Drosophila melanogaster: one gene and its partners. The protein of the gene in region 1 interacts with the protein of each later gene in a pairwise test. Each region holds a gene or a part of one and is shown in the gene's direction. Other genes may lie near its edges.

The links. Proteins that work in one complex are often made in the same cells at the same time.
Region 2: the proteins of CG5149 (region 1) and CG8635 interact in a two-hybrid assay, tested with the Drosophila melanogaster proteins (one large-scale study listed by BioGRID).
Region 3: the proteins of CG5149 (region 1) and CG11474 interact in a two-hybrid assay, tested with the Drosophila melanogaster proteins (one large-scale study listed by BioGRID).

What each region holds. Positions count from the first base shown.
Region 1 is NT_033779.5:7,383,983-7,390,079, reverse strand, and holds CG5149 (uncharacterized protein), read left to right. Parts: upstream 1-1,826; 5' UTR 1,827-1,976; coding exon 1,977-2,105; intron 2,106-3,431; coding exon 3,432-3,656; intron 3,657-3,897; coding exon 3,898-4,213; intron 4,214-4,275; coding exon 4,276-4,649; intron 4,650-4,713; coding exon 4,714-4,820; intron 4,821-4,939; coding exon 4,940-5,030; intron 5,031-5,088; coding exon 5,089-5,193; 3' UTR 5,194-5,594; downstream 5,595-6,097. Other genes in the region: gudu, read right to left, coding at 1-705, 788-1,404; ninaC (neither inactivation nor afterpotential C), read right to left, coding at 5,893-6,097.
Region 2 is NT_033778.4:8,629,679-8,633,956, reverse strand, and holds CG8635 (uncharacterized protein), read left to right. Parts: upstream 1-1,994; 5' UTR 1,995-2,252; coding exon 2,253-2,324; intron 2,325-2,450; coding exon 2,451-2,885; intron 2,886-2,943; coding exon 2,944-3,651; 3' UTR 3,652-3,750; downstream 3,751-4,278. Other genes in the region: Gle1 RNA export mediator, read right to left, coding at 3,882-4,278.
Region 3 is NT_033778.4:22,070,706-22,075,442, reverse strand, and holds CG11474 (uncharacterized protein), read left to right. Parts: upstream 1-1,999; 5' UTR 2,000-2,142; coding exon 2,143-2,231; intron 2,232-2,375; coding exon 2,376-2,481; intron 2,482-2,548; coding exon 2,549-2,645; intron 2,646-2,810; coding exon 2,811-3,677; intron 3,678-3,735; coding exon 3,736-3,887; 3' UTR 3,888-4,209; downstream 4,210-4,737. Other genes in the region: CG2921 (uncharacterized protein), read left to right, coding at 238-514, 572-688, 744-1,476, 1,539-1,848; CG11475 (uncharacterized protein), read left to right, coding at 4,264-4,737.

The sequences.
Region 1 (6,097 bases):
CCCTTGGCTAAATTTTCCAGAAGAGGGGCGTGAGAACTGTTGAGTAGGGAAACCATTGCTGGTAATCCTCCAGCCTGACGCAGTTGCTCCCTATTGCTTTGAAATCTCACACATTCAGATATAGCTCCGGTCACGTTGGTCAGGACCTCGTCACACTCATCATTTAGCAAGGCCACCAGGTGGTTCACCGTCCTGAGTTGATCCAGCACTTTGACATTTGCATCGGTTACGGCACACATCCAAATCGCTCCAGTGGCGCCTCTCAATAAAGGCTTATTTTCCCTCACATTCTTGTCCTTTATGATAGTTACCAAAGGTTCCAAGCCCCCAGCCTCCCTCACCAAATCCCTGGTGGTTCCGTCGAAGGCGCACTTGTAGATCGCTGTACTGCCCTCCATCTTCAGCTCGGTATTTTCGGAACTCAGATGGCTCACAATGTCGGGAATCATGCCCTCGGTGGTGATGGCCAGTTGGAACTTCGGCTCCGAGGAGCACTTTCGAACGGTGCCCATTATGGGAATGACGACATCGATGTGACAGGACTTAAGGAGCTGAGCCATCAAAGGAACAATTCCGCTCTTGCGCATCTGCTCCATGTTGTGCTTGGAATCGGCCAGAGTGAAAAGAGCCCGGGCTCCAGCGCGTGTCATATCGAGAGATTCCAGATCATCTGGACTCAATTGGTCACGAGGCGTCTTTAGAATGCTATAATATAATTAGGTTTTTTTTTAATTATTTCTTATATGTGGTGATGTAGTATGAAGCACTTTATCCAATGCCAACTCACCTCAACTTGATGTCGATGAGATCCACCAGCTTGGGGATTCCTCCGCAGGTGCGCACATACTTTCTGGCCAGTCGCACCTTGCACACATTGGCCAATGTCTCGGCGGCCATGGTTTTTAGGTCCTTCATGGAAGAGTTTAGGATGTCCACAATGAGGGGAATGCCATCCAGATCTACGATGGTCTTCCTAATATCGATGTTCAGTGTGATATCTGAGAGAACTTTGAGGGCGCCCAAACAGCACTTGGTGTCGCTGCACTCCAGGATGTTAACCAAGACATCGAGTCCGCCGATGTCCGAGATGGCGAACTGATTGATCTGGGTGCTCAGATCGTAGTCCTTCAAGCAGCACAACGATACTATAGTGGCTGTCTGATTGCCCGCCTTGATGTATTTCACCAGTTTTTGGATATTATAATAGTCAGCCGGAATCTCAGCGGCTCGCGCCACTTCCTTCCAGCGTTCCTCCTCATCCGTAGACGATTCCACCTCCGTGGTATCCGAGTCCTCGGCGGCCACCTGGCGCTTATCCTTTGAGAATCTGTTGGGACAGGATCCGCACTGTTCTTTCTTCTTTCGACTCCGATTGTGGGACGTTCCGCTGCTAGTGCCAATCATCCTTTCGCGTTGGATTACTCACAGATTTGGCCAATCGTATTCCGGAAATATCTGTCGGTATGCCAGCTTTCTTCAGTTTTGTATCGGAATTTATTGTGTTTTTGTGTGGGAGAACTTTATTAGGCCAGGCAATTGATTTAATAAGGCGTGTTGCTAAGGTAACTGAGATAATTTCAAAAATACCGGGCTAGGGCAAAGGTATCTTAGCTCAAACTTGTAAGTTTTTTTTTATTTTAATAAATTTTTAACTACAGCTATCCAAGGCATTTAAAATTTATTTTATTCGCTTGGCCTTCGTTGAATTCGCTTAGCGGTTAAAATTAACCGTTTAGCAAATACATCGACCTGACTTAGCACAGACAATAACCATTCATAGTGCAGACGACCACCGCGAAATTTACCCGTTTCCGAAACTATCGAGGGTATCGCAGGGAAATCGACTGCCATTCCATCACCAGCTTGTGTTGTTTGTTTTTTATTTTCAATTAAAATCCGCGATCATCCGCAGCTGCAGCTGCATTGTTTGTTTACCAGCCGTCGTAGCACCAGCCAACTGAATTTCGTGTCCTGAGATGGGAAATGCGAGTGGCAAGCGGGAGACGGATAATCTCTACAATTCGGAAGAGCTACGCATGCTGGAATCCGCGTACAAAAACGCCTCTGGCGGAGCACTTGAGAAGTTGACCCAAGACAGATTGGTGGTAAGTCAAGTAAATCCAGTTACCGTGCCACGTGTGCACTGCGAAAATCAATGGCAACTGCATTCTGCATTTGCGGAAGGGTCAGGGTCACAAGTTCAAGGACGCGCGGAGTGAACTTTCTTCGGCAAAAAAAGAGAAATCGGGACTTTCGAGTGCATGACAAACGGCCGTCCATCCACCTGCTGCGATGGCCACCCTTCACTTGAATGGGTATATCCTTTAGGGCATTAATTTGTTGTTGTCACTAACTCCTATTTCGAGGATTAAACATTGAAGTTAATCATAGTACTATGTTCCGAAAAAGAAGCTTAGTTATATAAGAGAGTGAGTCGCAACATTATCCGGCATTATACAAAAGTTCAAAGTTTCTAAACCTTATTTTAATACAGTTCTTTTTCGATTTAAAGTGCAAACCAGGAAATTTAACAGAGTTTATAAAAAGTAAATTATTCAACTTGTTTAAAAATGTAATTTTCTAAACTAGTCAGTCCTATTTAGATTAAATGTACACGTAACTTTCCAAAATTGTTATTTTAACCCATTTAGTTAAATCAATCTGATCATACACAATTTATGCTATAATTTTTCCGATGCGGGTTCAAGGCCCCAGATTTGTGTTTTATTTTTATCACAGCACAGATGACGGAAATGCAACCACTCAAAAAATGTTTGTTTGTAACCAGATGATGATTTTTCCTTATAATATTTCCATCTATTTATAGCTCGTGTTTGATTATCACAGCGCTTCCTAGGGTATAGCAAAATTCGATATCTTCAACTCGGGCGTTATCAGTTTCGAATTGATAATTCCTGGGCCAGTGCGAACGTGTCCATAATTTGTCTAATTTGTTTGCTGCCGCATTTCACTGTTTGTCTTTTGCTTTGTTGAATTTGCTTGCTAACGAATTAGTCGTGATTTCAATGACTGGGGTCGTCAATTAGGGCCAAACCCAATTGAATTAAAAATAAACCATATGCTTAACCCGTTTACAGCATGGCATGTGAAATAGTTGATTTTTAGAATGAGGAAATTATAAGACTTGCATTCATATAGAGTAATTTAAGCGGAAACTCTCTAAATTGAAACTTTACATACATTGAAGTAGTATTTATTTTCATAAAACTTGAGAGACTTTGTTTTCAGTCAAACCAAATTATTATTCATTGTACGTCCTTCAATGGGTTAATCTGTGTCAGCGCTTCCCAGACCTTCGTTCCCTGCAAGAATTTGCTGACAGCAGCGGGAAAATTATGTTTACGTATCCGGCGCGCATTTTGTTTATGTACACACATATACATGTATCTGTTGTTTTGTTTCGAAAATAGGAAACTTGGTCGCAAACCATCGAAAGATCCCTGGCCGAAAGTACGGCTCAGTATCTATTTACGCCCACGAAGCCAGGTCAGCAATGTGTCAACCTTCAGCTGAAGAAATTTGGAGAGCCCTACTACATCATGGAACGCGGTACTATTGACCAGAAAATGCAAATGCTCCTGGGCTCAATGGAGAGAAGTGGAAATGACACCTTCAACAGCAAGCAATTGGAGCAAGTGAGTCTATAAATAAGTAGTCATTGTCATCAGATCGCGGAAATAATATTTATAACTTCTGTCAGCCGAGCCTCATTAGGATTCATAACATGTTTGTTATTGAATTAGGTTTAGCTCTCCATTTATGTTTATCCTGAAAACTAGATTTCCACGTTTATTTTCTTAGCTGTCATATGAACAACTTGTTTATTTAATTCTTTTATCTTTTGCTCGCGAATTAATCAATTTTATAATTCCCCAGTATATCTACTCGGTGATCAAGAGCTACGTGCACTTGGAAAGTACAGCGAAAAACTCTGGCATCAAGGAGTGGCACGATCTTGGCTTTAACACCACGGAAAGGTCCGCCGCCACATTTGCCAAGGGCCTTATGAGAAATCTGGGCAAGGAGCTAGAGCACACTATGCCCAACGATGCCCTGGAACGTTGGTTACACGTCACTCCGCAGTTTTTGCAGATTTGGCGCGAGGTCTTTAGCCAGCTGTATTGTCGCCATGGTGGCAGCAAACGCAACATAATCAAGGAAATGGAAATTCCAATTCTGCCAGCACTGTGTGGTAGGACAAAGAAAATTTTTAAATTTATTAAAATCGTTTATAACTTTTTTCCTATTTTCCAGATGCTCCGCAAAATAGTCATTATCGCCCTATCATCGAACTACCTCACGTCCTGTATATCAATGCTCAGCTGCCCCGCGAACATCGGCACAAATGGCGCTTTCTATTCTCATCGAAAATCAACGGGGAAAGCTTCTCGACGATGTTGGGAAAAGTGCTGGACAAAGGACCAACGCTGTTCTTTATTGAGGACGAGGATCAATATATATTTGGCGGCTACGCGTCCGAAACGTGGTCCGTGAAACCGCAATTTGGAGGCGATGACAGCTCATTGCTCTACACCTTAAGCCCTGCCATGCGGTGCTTTTCGGCCACAACTTATAACAATCACTATCAGTATTTGAATTTGAATCAGCAGACTATGCCGAATGGCCTGGTGAGTAATGTTTATAGCTAATTGATTGATTGCTTTGCTAAATGTTTATATTTTTCGTATACAGGGCATGGGCGGTCAGTTTGATTTTTGGGGCCTTTGGATTGACTGCAGTTTCGGCGATGGACAAAGCGTTGAAAGTTGCACTACATATCGAGACTACGTGCAGTTGAGGTGAGTGTAAATTAAAATCTTGATTATGTTTCACCTTACAGACCACTAGATTCTATATTTTAATTCAACATTATTTTAAACAATTGTGGTTAATCTACCAATTATTTATCGTACCCAAGTAAACGGAAACAGTTCAAAATACGAAACATGGAAGTTTGGGCCGTAGGAGACTTACCAGTTAAAGAAGAAGACGAAGAAGGCGACGGTCACGTATGTCAAATTAAACTCAATATTATATTAAATAAATAATCATATCTTTAACCCATAGAAACGTTCTGTGCTGGATGGCAATTTGGAAGATCGGGCCATGTTGGAAATTGCGGGCAAGAAAATGCACTCGGATGGATTGCGTGAGCCCAACATGGATGATTGATATTATGTGAAACTATTTAAGGAAAAAGTTTTGTTTTATCATCGAGAATTTGTGAGACCATGCCCGATATGGGTGTGCAGTTAATGATTCAATTCAGTTTCCTTAGCTTTTTTGCAATCCCTATCGAACACACAAAAAAAGTCCTGCGAACAAAAGAGTATTTGTTCAATCCATTCCTATAAACGTTTTTGTTTAGGTATTAATGTTTATATATACAATGTATAATGGATATAGTTTATGAAATACTGAGAGTATTGTTGTTGCGTTTTAGATCTTAAAGTGAGAAAAGTAAATCATTTAAATGATGTAACAAAGAAGCAAGCATAATAAGCAATGTTAATTCGTCGAATTTTTCCCATTTTTATCCTACGTCAATAAAATGCAAATTAATTGCTGAATTTATATCAATGTCTTTAAAGTTAAATGTTTGAGTATGCCAAGGTAGCATTTACCTACAAATAACCTAAATAATTAAGTGGTTTATAGAGATAGAAAAATGAAATGCGGTAAGAAAAAAGTGAAAATTTAAATAACGATTTATCCCAAGACATTTTATTTATTCCATTGTGTGAAACGTTTTTGAGAAAGTGATGAAGAAAACTTCAATCATTATTTTGGAATTTTAGGTGGGTTTTAGCTAAATTGTCTTATGGTTTGCATAACAATTAATTTTAATATTTTTACTCTTAATCACTAGTTTTAGATATCGACGGCATAGCCTGAAAGAGTGATTCCAGGTGCAATCTCCTCTTCTACATAGGATCCTGCCTCCTCGAAGGATCTAGCATTGCTATCTTCGAAGCTGCGACCCACGCTGGCTGGAGATTGTCTCAAGGTCGGAGCCCTCTGCTGCTGGCCAAACTTCCTAGACACACCATAGTTTCCCGATGATGAATTATAGCCC
Region 2 (4,278 bases), on another chromosome or scaffold:
TATTGCTGCCGCTGGGCAATTCTACGTTCTTTGGGCCAATTACAGAGAAGAACGGCTTGAAAAAATCCGAGATGGGATCGAAGAAGTTGACCTGGTGCTGTAATAGTTATAAACTGTTATATTTTTAAAGATTTTATAAATAATTTTTTTTTTTATTAACGGGACGAAAATTGGTTTTAATCATATAAATCATAAATGATTTACATACAGGATAAAAGACTATCTTTATTGTATGAAAACAAATTATTTGAGTAATAGGTATCTGATAGTAGAGGATCTAGCCTTTATCATTTGGCTGATGATTACCCCTAAGTTAACTAACCGCAGCCCATTCCTTGCTGTCTAAGACCGAAGATGAGATCGTGAATGGGTAAAACGTCAGTCTTTGGCTGAATTCGATCAATGAAACTGAAAAAAGTCAATATATACATACTTTTCGAAAAGAATTAGGGATATCCATTTTTGGAGCAGTCTCATTGCTGTCGGCGAAAAAAAGTTCAAGAATTTTTTTTATCAATAAAAAACGACAGTAAGAGCTATAAGTTTCTCGACTATCTAGCTAGTGTGAGTACCAGAAAGAATATTGTTTTTAAATACCAATGGAAATAATCAAGAATAATAAAATAAACCTTTTCCAAAATTGTAGTATTAATAGTGGGAGCTCTGCCCCCCGAACCCTTCACCACGGATACAGCACCCTGGAAGATCTCGACGTTATGGCTGCGAGCAAAGATAAAATAAGCAAAATAAAATTGAAAATGTTAAAAAAGTTTTTTTCTTCTGGGTGTGTGCTTGGTCTCCAAACCTTAACCTCCATCCGCATTCCCAGGCCCTACCCGAAATAAAAACCTAATTTCGCTTTCCTCGGAACGATAATAATAAAGCCAAGCTTTCCGAACGTTTGGCGCACTAGGATTGCCCGATTCCTAGAAAACCGAATATGTATGTTTAAATCGCGGCACAAAGACAGGGTCCAATAATGCCCCACAATCCGCTCCGATCGCAAATGGGATGTGGAGGGCCACACACGTCGATCGCCCAGGAGCGCTGGGAATAAAGAAGACAAAGACGACAGGGCGGCAAGAAAAACAAATAATTGCTAATTTTATGCTCGAATAAATGAGCGCGAGTGAGCAGCAGAAGAAGGATCAAAAAATGGGCGCCCCACCATTCGGGCGGCATAAATTAGTGCGAGCGAGACGGCTGCCCAGAGACGTCACGCACTATCAAACGAGAAAATGATCAATGGGGAACCTATCCACATGCATCGCACTCGCTCGCACTTGAGATCAAAAGGGGGGAGAGAGCAGGCCGGCTAATATGGACCACCCAAGAAGATGACGTCGAATTAAGGGCCACCCACGAAGAGACACGTCGTTGCTCTCTTTCTCGTTGCTGCATGTGTGTTGGTGAGCGAGATGGTACAGTGAGAAAAAAAAGTATCAATTTTGAGCAATGGAAGATGGGATTTATATTAGAAGAGGGTTTAAGGTATTTTAATGGGAATACTATATATACAAGATTTTTTCAATGCTAAGTCACAGGAACAGTATATATATTCTGGACCAGGATCCTTACCCTTACCTAGGTCGATCCGGCCATGTCCGTCTTTCCCTTCGCCTGTATATCAGTTATATCAGCTAATGAGATGGGAGTAAGCAGCTAGATTCCAATACCAAAAATTATTCGAATCGCTCTATAGATCGGATATAAATTATAGGTAACTTGTAGGGCATTAGTATTCTAAGTAATGTCGACGCCATTAGATGGAGCTCGTGTAAAATCTGTAAAATAGTCGCTATGCTGCTGAAACAGCCACTTACTATATATGTTTAACGATATGTCTTTTAAAAGTTGTAACTCAAACGATGATTTAAAATGTATGATATTAAATATTAGAAATAAGTTAAATAGCCAAGTTTTGAACCCATGTAAACATCGATTGAGTGGTTTAAGTGTGCGCTGAAAACCTTAGCTCTTTTTCAAACCACACAGTTTAAAAGTGTGCAATTCATGCACACTCCACTTATTAATTAAAAGTTGCTGGCCAAGAAATCATTTGTTCAGTTACTACATTTTTAAAAGCACAATTGTTAAATTAATTAATGATAACCGGTTCTTCCTGAGATATGCTGCCATCCGCACTCTGGTCACACTGACAGGGCCTCTTGTTCCAGCGTGGTTGTGCAAAAAACTTCGTTTGAACTTTATTTCTACATTTAAGTTATTAAATTCCCGTATCCCGCCCGAAGATGCCACCCAAAAAGGCGCCACCAGGTCCCAGCAAGAAGACGGAGCAGAAAAAGAAGGAGAAAGTCATTGAGGTAGGCTTCGTAACCGGAAAGCCGATGGGTGAGCCCCCCTCTTTGTAAATCCGTGATGTGGAAACCCGGCAGGGAGAAATTCAATAAGATCCACATTGAACTGACCAAGTGTAATTCCATCGGCAGGACAAAACCTTCGGGCTGAAGAACAAGAAGGGCAACAAGCAGCAGAAGTTCATCCAGCAGGTGCAGAAGCAGGTCCAGTCCGGCGGACAGCATCCTCGCCAGGATGGCGACAAGCGCAAGGAGGAGAAGGAGAAGAAGCTGGCCGAACAGCGCGAGATGGCGCTGATCTTCAAGCCGGTACAGACTCAGAAGGTGGAGAAGGGCACCGATCCCAAGTCGGTGGTCTGCGCCTTCTTCAAACAGGGCACCTGCACCAAGGGCGACAAGTGCAAGTTCTCCCACGATCTTTCCCAGGAGAACAAGGTCGAAAAGCGGTCCATTTATGTGGACATGCGCGACGAGGACGATCCGATGACCAACTGGGACGATGCCAAGCTGAAGGAGGTGGTCGAGAAGAAGAGCTCCGGCGAAAAGCAACGTCCCACCACGGATATTGTGGGTCTAAGTTTAAAAAACTGCTTAAAACTCAAAACTAACCTCCCCTGTGTTTCAGATTTGCAAATTCTTCCTGGAAGCTGTGGAAAAATCAAAGTACGGCTGGTTCTGGGAGTGCCCCAACGGCGGAAAGTGCATCTACCGTCACGCCTTGCCAGCTGGATATGTGCTGAAGCGCGATAAGAAGAAGGAGGAAAAGCCCACGGAAATCTCGCTGGTCGATTTAATTGAGAAGGAGCGCGCTGCCCTCGGTCCCAACCAGACACGCGTCACCCTCGAGTCCTTCCTCGCCTGGAAGAAGCGCAAGATTGCCGAGAAGAAGGCCAAGCTGGCTGCCGAGGAAGAGCGCAAGAAGAGTGACTTCAGCAAGGGCAAACAGTTCGGCATCTCTGGTCGCGAAATGTTCAGCTTCAATCCGGATCTGGTCGACGACGGACCCATGGAGGAGGGCGACGCTGCTTTCGACGTCTACAACAGGGAGGACGACGACGATAATGCCGTCGAGTTCAAGGAACTGGATCTGGCTGCCCTGTCGCTGGCCGCCAAGGAGGTGGACGGCTCGGGCACCATTGCCTCCACCAATCGACTACTGGACCAGGCAACCGAAGCAGCCAAAACCGCCGCAGCCGAGGACGCAGCGGCCGACGAGGATGGCCCATCGTCGTCTGCACCCGCCAACGATGCTGCCCCCATCAACAAGGATCTCTTTGTTGATCTGGCCGGCGAACTGGATGACCTAGATCTGGACGATGAGGACGATGACTAGTCCTCCGCGTAGTTTGTTTGAAATGAGTTTGAAATTGATTTCTGCCTTTTAGCTACCCTTCAATCAATAAAGTTGTGGCTCTTAATTGTTGCATTTCTGGAAATGAAACGTATGCGTTTACAAGCAAGTTTTCTCTATTTACTGAATGAATACACGTCCCATTACTACAATAATCACTTTTGTTTATAAAAATACACACACTTAACAAAACTAACTAAATCATCGCATGCCTACCAAAATCCTGGAGGCAAAACTCCGACAGCCTGTGCAATCTGCCGCTCACGCAGGAACTTGGCCAGGAGCATTTCCAGCCGTGTCTTCGGACCACCTTCGTCGTAGGCTGCCAGCTGAGGCATGTAGATATTCTGAATGTAGACCAGCAGCTTGACGAACTGCTTGCCGTAGGTGCGCCACAACTCGAAGCCGAGGGTCTGGAGAATCTCCATGATCAAGGTAGCACTAATATCGGGCAATGGTTTCACATGCACCATGTGCGCTAGCCAGAGCCATCCCTCATTCAGCTCGAAGCATTCATCCGGTCCAGCTGCCTTTCGCCCTTGACTAATGATCACAGCTGCGTAGAGCCGAGCGAGTCCCGTTTGACGCTTAAGGTAAATGTCCGGTTTC
Region 3 (4,737 bases), on another chromosome or scaffold:
ATGAGGAGTTTTATCTGTTAAACTATAATTTTAAAAATAAGTCAGAATGAAAAAATTCACACTCGCGCATAAACTTAACAAATCAAATTCACAAACAGTCCTGCGCATAATCGCAGTGTGACGTGCGTTAGGCAACACTAAACAGATTGCAGCTTTGAAAAATCAGTCAAAATCAGGTAAATTCTGCTAAAATGCACCAGTAAACGCACAAAAATCACAGACAAAAAAAAAGAAAAGATGGAATCCTTATCGAAGGACCCTTCCTCGGAAGGCGAACTGCCCGAGGACGAAGGCAAAACGGACTCGGAACCCAGCAAAATATCGCGACTGTTGCGAACGGAATTCGATGCCAAATACCAGATCGTAAACCTGCAGACTCCTCTCAATGCCTTTATGTCGGGCCATTACAAGCAGAGCTTTGCCTTCTTCACACTCCGGAGTCGGCTGCCCGTGATCCTGACCAACGTGATAGATACGCTGACACGGGACAAATCCGAGCTGGTAGCCCAATTCGGTTGGTTAATCCCTGCAAGCGTTTTTTGGCATCTCCATTAACTTTTTCTTCTTCCAGCCTCAAATGAATTTTCACAGGCTGCCCGCGAGGAGCTAAAGATCATTATTGGATTGATCTCCAGGCTAAAGTACGAGCTGCAAACGGACAAATCGTTTCAAAACTTTACTGGCGAAGGTTAGTTCCTAGCTTCATAGAATTCTCATGAGGATTATAAGCCTTGTTTTCTTAGAACCCGATCGAGATGTTTGGAACAACTTTATCAGCAACCTGCCCGATGGCGAACGCAGCTTCTACAAAGCCAGCTCCCTCCATGCCGAGTGCTATCTGCACCGCAAACTCCACTCCTTTCTGGAAAACAGCGTATTTCTGAAGTCATACGATTTCTTTGCCAAAGTCAAGGAGCAGGCGCTAACGGATAGCATTGATGATATACTGGCCCTGACCAAGTACACACGACGATCAGAGAACAGCGTGGAGGTGTTCGACGAGCTTCTGAGGATCAACATGTGGAGCAACTGCAATGATGTGGCGACCGACACGGATACAGTAAAGCAATCGAACCGCCAGGTGCTGGAGAAAGTGGCAAACACCGATGAGCGCGTACTGGTTAACCAGGCAGCGGAGATTTGGAGGTGCTTGGAAAACCCTAAACTGAAGAAGCATAAGCAGGTGGACTTTATACTGGACAATGCAGGCTACGAACTCTTTAGCGACTTTATACTGGCTGAGTTCATGATTGAGAAGGGACTGGCCGACAAGGTGCGGTTCCATGTGAAGGCCCACCCTTGGTTTGTCACCGATGTGACGGAGCGGGACTTCAAGTGGACGCTGGAGTACTTGAGTGAGCATGCGGACTACATTATAAGTCTGATAGGAAAGAAGTTCCTACAATTCATCGATGAGGGAAAGTTCGAACTGGCGCCAATCTCGCATTTCTGGACATCACCACATTCGTTTTACAGGTTCGCATTCCGGATATGACTGCATATTCAGTGCCTCCTAATTACATCTTTGACTATTGCAGCATGGCGCAAATGGATCCAGATTTGTATAGTTCCCTGCAGCTATCCAAGCTGGTGGTCTTCAAGGGAGAGCTCAACTATCGCAAGCTGCTGCAGGACGTCTGCTGGGACCCCACCCAGGAACTCAGCACCTGCCTCCGTGGCTTCCTTCCCAGCAACATTTGTGTGCTGCGGCGGGTCAAGAGCGAAGTTATCTCCGGCCTGCCCGAGGGCGTTGGCCAGGCGCTGAGTGTGAAGGATCCGCGCTGGATGGTCTCGGGCAGTTATGGGGTCATTCAGTTCGTTGACGGAGCTCGTGAATTTGGCTATTAATCTTGTACAGGCTGGTCAGCTTAAATTATTGGTAATAAATAGTCGTTACATATCTAGAAGCCAAAGACGTCTTAAATATATACATATATGTACCTTTTTTGCTATGAAACAATAAAAAACTTGAAACATAAGTAACAAATTTTGAAAATTCAAAAAGTATCGCCTTGTAAATTATCGGTTCCAATTTCGGTATTTTCCATCACCGCCAAAGCGGTCACACTACGCGCCACTTTATCAATTTATAAACTTTCCGCAGCAGTACAATTCGGCTGGAGCAACAAACAGATCCTCGAAATGGGCAGCGAAACGGATTTTGACGCAAAGAATGGAATCGTGGACGGACCAACCCCGCCCCACACCGAGCTGGCGGCCCTCTATAAGCAGTGAGTAGGGCTAAATATAGCGCCTACTATAGATGGTGTCTAAATGGCCCGCGCATATGTAACAAATACGCCGACCCATCGTTACCCACACATCCAAGCTGTGGAATTGAATTATGATTATTACTTAAAAGTCATTTATTGCAGGAGCTTTGCCTACTACACCTTCCGTGTGCGTCTGCCTTCGACCTTGGCCACCATCGCGGATTCCCTAGTCAAGGACAAGGACGTCCTCCTGGCCACATATGGCGCGGTGGGTAGTTGTGTGCACTTCTACCTTGACCTTGAGCTTAAACCTTTGATATCAAATTGCATTCCAGGCAGCGGAAGCCGATATTGAACAAACTACAAAGGAGGTTAGACAGCTGCGGGATGACATCCTGAGCAACGGTCCTTTACTGCCCTTTGGTGAAAATGGTAGGTATTTGGGTGCTCATTGGGTTGGCAATCATATAAGTGTACTGTTTTAATTTCTTTTAATAGCATTGAACTCATAATTGATTGCGTTTTATATATTATTATTTCATTTACCCTGCGCAAAATGAATTTCTTTGATAAGAATAACGAATCTGTGCCTTTCAGATTCCGACTCTGAAGTGTGGAATGCATTCCTGGAAAAACTGCCCAAGGAGAAGAGAACCTACTTTTCCGTCTGCTGGCTGTACGCCGAGTGTTATATGTACCGCAAAATCTCATCTATTTTCCGGGCCACAGCCCATCTGGCCGCCTACGACTACTTCAGCCAGCAGAAACAGACGGCGACCAAACTGAGCGTGGACGCCATGCTGGCGGTGGCCAAGGCTACGCGGCACAATGAACGAAACTCGGACACCTTCCGCCAGTTGATCAAACTCAATTTGTGGGGCAACCGATGCGATCTGTCCATAACCTCCGGCAAACAGGTGAAGCCCACTGGCAATGCCTTTGACCAAGTTACGGATTTGGAGGAGAAGCTACTAATCGACGGCACCGCGGAGGTATGGAAAGCCCTGGACGGAGCCTCCGGAGAGGGCATTGTGGACATCATTTTCGACAACGCCGGCTATGAGCTGTACACGGATCTCATTCTGGCTGAGTACATTATCGACAAGGGATTGGCTGCCAAGGTGCGCTTCAATCCCAAGGCCATTCCTTGGTTCATTTCGGACGTGATGGAGCACGACTTCCACTGGGCACTTCAATTTCTGGCCGACCATCCGGATCCTGTGCTGAGTGAGGTCGGAAAAAAATGGCAGCGTTTGACGACCGAGGGCAAGTTCGAGCTTTCGCCACTGGAACACTTTTGGACGAGTCCCTACGAGTTCTATCGCATGCCAGAGGTAAATCCCTCACTCTACGACCGCCTGAAGGAGGCGCAACTGGTTATCTTCAAGGGTGACCTCAACTATCGCAAGTTGTTAGGCGACTTCTCCTGGGACAGCACGGAGTCCTTCGAAACTTGCTTGAGGGGTGAGTCTATCTTGACAGTAATTCTTCCAGTACTTACACGTTTTATATCCCTGTTAAGGCTTTCGTCCTTCCAATCTCTGCACTCTGCGCACAATTAAAGCGGATCTGATCTGCGGATTGGGTGCAGGCGTGGCGGACCAACTGTTTGCCAAGGATAAGGAGTGGATGTTGACTGGCGAGTATGGCGTAATACAGTTTGCCAGCAAGTAGAGAAAGAAGGAAATCAGGACAAGGAACAGCAAACTAGTTGAATTGTTTTAGTCGTTATAAGCTTAGCTTAATTGTTGAAATTCAGAGTGACCTATGCGAGATCCAAAACGAAATTATACTCAATTTAATCATTAACACTTCAACTATGACTAATTTAGTTTTTATAAAATGTTTTTAAACACATTTAAAACGTTTGCATTGCCTTTAGCAATTTAGTTGTACTCCAAAGCCTTTGGCATTGCTTAGTAAGCACAGACACTCACTCATATGAACGTCAGTTGTCCTATTAGGGCTATTAAAGTTTAGGAAAATATTAATTTGGAATCGAAATATTTTCCTGGCAAAGAGGGCTTCGAAATTCTACGTTTTAGGCGAAATGCATAGTGCTGACTTAACTAGCCACACCGATGTGACGGAAACCACCAATCTTGCCGCCATTGAGCAGTTGAAGGAACAGCGATTCAACGAGAAGAATCTGATCATATACAATCCGCCTGGAGAGAATGACGAACTTTCCGCCAGATTCCTGCGCAGCCTAGCTTTTGCCACCTTCAAGCGAAGATCGCCCGCATTTTTGAGGGATTTGATCACATTCCTACAGGATCGTGAGGCGGATATAATTGAACAGTGCGGGGACTATGCCCATTTCGATTTGAAGCGCACCATCTGGAGCCTGGAGCTGCTGCGCGATGATATAATCAACAACAGGGAGTTCCAGATAATTCGCGTCAAGTCGCCGGACACTGACAGCTGGAACTCGTTCCTCAAGGGTCTTGGAGAGGACAGAAGGCAGTGGTTTTCGGCAATTTGGCTGCATGCGGATTGCTACATGTACCGCCGCATTTGGTCG